Linked DNA regions of Mus musculus. The protein of the gene in region 1 purifies or fractionates together with the protein of each later gene. This does not show direct contact. Links are inferred from orthologs where the notes say so. Each region holds a gene or a part of one and is shown in the gene's direction. Other genes may lie near its edges.

What was found.
Region 2: the proteins of Stradb (region 1) and Cab39 purify together in Homo sapiens (affinity purification with mass spectrometry; 3 studies listed by BioGRID and IntAct, counting the BioPlex papers as one, with this or other methods). This does not show direct contact. The link is inferred for Mus musculus from reciprocal best matches to the Homo sapiens genes STRADB and CAB39.

What each region holds. Positions count from the first base shown.
Region 1 is NC_000067.6:58,993,072-58,995,622, forward strand, and holds the end of Stradb (STE20-related kinase adapter protein beta), read left to right. Parts: coding exon 1-66; intron 67-489; coding exon 490-532; intron 533-1,221; coding exon 1,222-1,365; 3' UTR 1,366-2,051; downstream 2,052-2,551. UniProt on the Homo sapiens protein: Pseudokinase which, in complex with CAB39/MO25 (CAB39/MO25alpha or CAB39L/MO25beta), binds to and activates STK11/LKB1.
Region 2 is NC_000067.6:85,792,250-85,796,240, forward strand, and holds the start of Cab39 (calcium-binding protein 39), read left to right. Parts: upstream 1-1,191; 5' UTR 1,192-1,572; intron 1,573-1,639; exon of another isoform or gene 1,640-2,725; intron 2,726-3,107; exon of another isoform or gene 3,108-3,224; intron 3,225-3,991. UniProt on the Homo sapiens protein: Component of a complex that binds and activates STK11/LKB1. In the complex, required to stabilize the interaction between CAB39/MO25 (CAB39/MO25alpha or CAB39L/MO25beta) and STK11/LKB1.

The sequences.
Region 1 (2,551 bases):
AAAGACGTTCTCTCCTGCCTTTTTTAGCTTGGTGCAGCTGTGTTTGCAGCAAGATCCTGAGAAAAGGTAATACTAGTCACCTCTAAGTAGCATAAAACATACGTGCTTTACATCTTATAGTAGTTTTACGATATTACTCTTCCCATAAAATTAACGTATCTTGATCAAGAAACTTAATCTGAAGAGTGTCAGTGCTAAGAACAAGTCCAAGTAATGAGCAGGTATGGAGAGCAGTTGGGCTCCTTCCGTGGCCATGCCACGCCCAGCTGAGCTGCCTATGCCACGCCCAGCTGAGCTGCCTATGCCACGCCCAGCTGAGCTGCCATAAACAAATCAGTTCTTAGTGTGTCTGTTAAGGCACCTTTGGAAACTCCTAAGAAGTTAAAACAGTTTTGTGTGTGTACATACACACACACACAAACACAATAATGTACACATACACACATTTTCTGATGTTAGATTTTCTAATAACTTTTCCAAAAATTTCAGGCCATCAGCAAGCAGTTTGTTGTCCCATGTATTCTTCAAGCAGGTGAGCTGGTCCATTATCCATTGTTTTAAATATTTTAAAATATTATTTTTAAAGGCCTTTATTAGTTGGCTTCATAGGACACTTGGGTTACAAAAAATTTAATAATAACTTCCCTATAAAATAGAATTAAAATAAGAACATTTTTAGTAGTTAATTTTAGGCTTATTTGTGTGTGTGTGTGTGTGTGTGTGTGTGTGTGTGTGTGTGTGTACATGGTGTATGTTCATGAATGTGTCATAAGGACACTTGTGGAAGTCACCCTCTCACTCCATTGTGTGGACCCCAGGATAGAGCTTAGATTTTCAAGTACCGGTGTAAAACACCCTTGGCACCTTTGCCTGGTGAGCCATCTAGTGGCCTTAATTATATATAGAATATTTAAAAGATTTTTATTCTTCAAAAACAAAGCAGTAAAAATAACATATGTTACACACACTATATTTTCATTAACTTAAAACTGGTGTCTGTCTTACCTAGAAATAATGGCAGGGCAGAATAATTCTGCTTAAAATTAGTTTATTTAGCTTTTAAGTCTTTGGTTTTCTCGATTGTCAGAACTAGAAGCATTTAAAAGGAAAAGACCTAAAAATAATTTTAAAGTTTTAAAATTTCTTTAAAAGTTATTTATTGCTTATAAAATTTGTGTTGAGTCTCTGTGCCCATGTCACTATTTTAAGTTTCTTTAACAGATGAAAGAAGAAAGCCAGGATTCCATACTTCCCCTGTTGCCACCTGCTTATAACAGGCCATCAGCGTCACTGCAGCCAGTGTCGCCGTGGAGCGAGCTGGAATTCCAGTTTCCTGATGACAAAGACCCAGTGTGGGAATTCTAGGGTTGCCAAATCATTTCATGTCCTCTATACTTGACAGCCTCTCCTTGCTGCTTGTCTTCGGTCCTGTTAGGTACAAATGACAAATCTATACTTGAAAATACAGTTGGTGCACTGGAGAATCGATCAGTTAAACCACTCTGTTCATGGGGCGTGGATTTACCCTCTCTGCCCAGATCAGAGCACCCGCACGACTTCCTCGTCAGTTACTGCCCAGCTCAGCTAGTGTCCGCTCGCCCGCCCTTCCGCACATCCCCCGCTTCTTTTCCACCTTTTAAGCTGTGACTGGTACTTTCTGGATCTCAGTGTAACTTTTGAGCTAGTTAATTCTCTTCTACATTTTACTGTTCTCTGGGGAATGAACCCTTCCTCGGAGGACACTGCTTCCAGAGCATCTTCTCTTCCAGATTCACTAGCCTTTTTGATCAGCTATTGGTAGATGAACAGGCTGGTTTATTCTGGTATAAAGCCCTTTTTTGGAGAAGGGAAAATGTTTGTACTATTCCTTTTACATATGGCAACATCAAACTGAGCCTTGCTCACATTAAATAATTCACTTGAACTATAAAGAGAAGATGCAATTTGCATTTTAAAGGGGAAGGGGCTAACAACACTTTTCTACCTGTGTAAATTATAGATCATTAATTCATGCACCCTGTGGGAGCTCAATAAAAATGTATAAAATTAAACATCTCTTTTATATATTTTGTGTGGCTTAACAAAACTAGAACACAGATTCTAATTTGGTTTGCTGAGAGAATCTCTTTTTTACACATAATTTACATAACATGGTATAAACTTCAGGCAATCTCCTAGAGACAAATGGCATGTTGGCCTTTTATATGCTTGTTTCTGTAGTGGGGTAAACCTTGAAGCCCATGCTGTTGTTAATGGCCCTGCGTCCCTAGCAGGAGATATTGTGTTTTAGTTACATTTTTGTTGCTATGATAAAATCCCACAATCAAAAGAGTTGCAGAGGGCTAGTTGTCCTTACTGACAGAGAAGGCAAAGCAGCAGGAGCAGAGAGCTAAGAGGTCCTATCTCAGCTACATCACAGGAAGCAGAGAGGGGGAACTGGAACTGGGGCAAGCCTACAAGCTCTCAGAGCACCCTCTGCAGCGTACTTCCTCCTGTAGGGCAAAGAGCATCGCCGAAGAGCTGATCACCAACACCAACTAGGTGTTCAGAT
Region 2 (3,991 bases), about 27 Mb from region 1:
AATCCAGAATCTACCATAATTATAGTATAGCCTGAGCTATACCCCCGAGCCCTACTATAGGGTGTCAGCAACCCCCGTCTACTGTATTTGTGGAATTCCTCCGGCCCTTCACTCTGATCTTCATATCGCAGTAACAGTGATTACGACTTTTTTTTTTTGAGACAGGGTTTCTCTGTGTAGCCTTGGCTGTCCTGGAACTCACTGTGTAGACCAGGCTGGCCTCAAACTCAGAAATTCGCCTGCCTCTGATCACGACCTTTTTAAAACGCCAAAGCCTGGCCCTTTCCTGCTCCAAATCCTATGGATAGCTTGCTTCTCTCAAGTATTGAAGTTCTCACAGGAGGCTCACATCGCCTTGCTTCCTTCAGGAAACCACTTCCTTAGCACACTGTAGCTGTCCAAAATCCTGTCCCATTGTTAAGCATATAGCAAAGGAGCACACATGTAGCATTTTTGAGTTCCAGACTCTGTCATTAGATCTCTGTAATGCATTATTTTATTCCTCTGGGTGTGTGTTCATGGCACTTGTTTCTCTCTCTCTCTCTCTCTCTCTCTCTCTCTCTCTCTCTCTCTCTCTCTCTCTCTCTCTCTCTCTCTCTCTCTCTCTCTCTCTCTCTCTCTCTCTCTCTTTCTTTCTTTCTTTCTTCATGGAACTTGCTTCCCTATCTATCTATAGGCAGAGTTTTTCACACAGCCCGGGCTGACCTAAACCTGTGAAGTCTAGGATGACCTTGAACTCCTAATTCTCTTGAGTTCACCTCCCAGTGTTGGGATTACAGGCATGCACCACTAAAATCCACTTTGGAAAAAGTAGGATATGTACCCTTGTTGGATCTTGTTTCTTTGGAATATTTCATCACTTTTTTTCCCCTGTCAGGAGATGCCAAAGTGAAGTTACAGGTTCTGCCCAAGCATGAAAGAACCCATTTGAACAGTTTTGAGCCCTCCGCAGATGTAAAGTTTTAAGACTTGAGGAAGTGGACTGTGTTCCTCCAGGAACTAGCAAGTAAGGGGCGCATAGACGACGACTCCAGCTCCCCTTCTGCTTTTTCTCAGTGCCCCCAGCTCTTCAACTTGCCGGCGACTCAGGCGTCCCGAGTCCGCCCGGCCGTCCGGGGGCGCCCGAGTACGCAGAGGGCGTTGCGGCGCCGCCCGACGTCCCGCCTTCGGCGGCTGCGCAGTGCGCACGTCAAAGCCGGGCTCAGGCCGGAGCTGGGCGCGGGGCGCCAGGAGCCGCGCGGCCTGAGAGAGTCTGGGGCTTCAGTAGCCGCGCGAAGGCTGAGACAACCTCAGAGGCGAAGGCAGTGCGGGACCTCACGGCCACAGCCGCAGCCCTACCGAGCGCAGCACCGCGGCGGCCACAGCAGGAACCCCTGGGCCACCGTCCGCCCGCGCAGCCGCCGCCGCCGCCGCGGGAGCCCGTCGCCCGGAGCAGCTGCGGGCGGAGGACAACGGAGGGCCGGAGCGTCCGAGCCGCGCCGCGGGGACCGAGCGAGCAGCCCGAGGCGGCGGCGGCCGAGGACGGGGACGGAGACGAAGCAGAGAGGGAGCTCCCTGGCCCGGCCCAGCCCGGTGAGTGATCCCCCGGCCCGGCCCTGCTCGCGACGCGGACGCCCGCCGGCTTCCGCCCGACCCGCCTCCATTTTCCCGGGTGGCGGCGGCGGGAGCGGCCCGGAGCAGCCGGAGCTCCGGGCGCCGCCCTTGTCCTCGCCCGTACTAGGCTCCGGGGGCCTGCCGGCCGGGGCTACAACTAACCGGGGTAGAGCTGGCCCGGCCAGCTGTCACTCCCGCCGCTCCGGGGACTCCGAGCACCTAGCCCTGGGCTCCGCGTAGCCTCACTGTTAGCGGGACGCTGACACTATCTTTGTAGGGGACCTTTCAGGAAAATGCCTAACTGATTTCTGGCTAGGAATTGTGCGTTCGGCGCGTTCCCGGGTTCGGTTGGAGCAATCCAAAACGCCGACTGCGTGCCGGTGCCGGAGCGACTCCGAGGTGAACCCGGCCGGGAGGTGCCCTCCCCTGGGGAGCTTTAACGCGGTGATGTGAGAGATAAGACGAGTACACAAATAGCTAAGATACCAGGCAGGAGGGGGATAGATAAGTTCCGTTTAGGAACTACCAATTGCTAGAAAGGTGCTCCGGGGTGACTGGACCTGTCGATCGTTTCCGCCTTCCCACGAACCTGGGAGGCTTCCTGGGCGAGGCGGTGCTAAACCGGGTCTAGAAGACTCGATTGGATTCGGGAGAAGGGGGTTGCAGTGGAGAAGGGCGTGGAGGGGCAACAAAGCTGGAGGACAAAGGTACAAAGAGCATGCGAATGTTGCCAATTCCATCACCGGGTGCCGTGATAGGTGGGGTAGACTAAAGAGGCATTTGGAGTCAGATCTTTGAATGCTGTAGAGGAGCTGTTTGAACGACCTTCCACGGAAAACTTAGAACTCATTTTTCAGTGACTCATGAGGCCGGAAATGTATGCTAGGGCATATTAAAGGCGCTCTTGAGAAAGACAGGCGAGCAGAGAAGGCCACAGTCAGGACTTAGCATTGTTTCCTAAATATAATGCAGTTTGAGGTCGATTTTGACAGCTTCCGGGATATTTAAGTAAATCTATGTCCAAGCCAAGGAAAATACCTTTTGTAGAAAGTGTCACTAGATGCGTGCTTATCTGAAGTAATTAAAAGAGGTGCCTAAATTAACCTTCTCTACACACAAGGCATTTGCGTTGGTGAGTTCTCTAAAATTGCATCAGAACTTCTGGATCCCTGTGTTGGAATTGAACATTAAACTGTAGATTTATAAAAAAAAAAATAGTAATAAGAACTGAACTGTTAACAGTCTAGACAGACAGTTGGACACACACCATTTTTCTGGAAAAGTAAAAAATTTCTTGTTAATTTTTAGTTATGAAAATATTGGAGAGCCAGAAGTGAAAGTTTTTAAGCTCTATTTTACAGGTTTAAAAAAATTAGCAAGTAATTAGTAACTACTAAATGCTTACAATATATGATTTGTAAGAATTGCCTTAGAACTTACTATTGGTTTTGTAAGTGCTTATATGTACAAGGAAATCATACTTTTTTTCAGTCTTACATTTTTCTTTATCAAAGTAAGATCTAGCTGCTGCTGCTGCTGCTGCTGGTGGTGGTGGTGGTGAACGCTTTTAGCCTCTGCACTTTGGAGACGGAGGAGGGCCAGGCCAGGCCAGGCCAGCCGGCTAGATCACAGTAAGAGACTTTGTCTTTTTATTCTAATTTTTGTTTCTTAAAGTAAGACATACTCTTTGAAACATGGAAGCAGTAGTCCATCTCTCCTTTCTCCCCCACCCCATCCCCATCTTTTGAAACAGTGTAGCTCAGGTCTTCCAACCTGTCATCCTCCTGCATTGGGTTTCTAAGTGCTAGAATTACAAAATAGACTGGGAATTTTTTTTCTTTAAGTTTTCTTAATCTTATCACTTAGATTTTGTTTCTGTAAACATTTTTGCATATTTCCTTTCTGATCTTTTTCTGTGTATATTTTCCTAAAAATATATTAAGTACATTTATTTATATATTTGTTTATTTATTGGCATTTTGAAACAACCTCTTACTCTGGCCCAAGTTGTCCTGGAATTTGCTGTGGAGGCCAAGCTAGCTTTAAAATTCCAGATAGTTCTCCCGACTCAGCCTCCTAAGGGCTGGGCATGAACCAATAGAACCAGTCTGAAAGTTTTCTTAAATGTTTTATTAGGCTTTTACCTGTCAAGGTTGCATTGTTCCCTTAAGGCTTCTTGTTAGAAGTCTGTTTATTAGCTTCTCATCAAGGTTTGGTCCTGACTGCTGCTTATTGAATGTATTTTGGTTGGTAGAATACATTTATGTGATCGCCAGGAGTGGAGACGGGCACACAGACCTCTGCTATGTGAGCAGGAGTACTTTTAGTAGGCCACTGAGGGGCTGGAGAGGTTAAGAGTGTGACCTGCTCTTGCAGAGGACCTGAGTTCTGCTGTTGT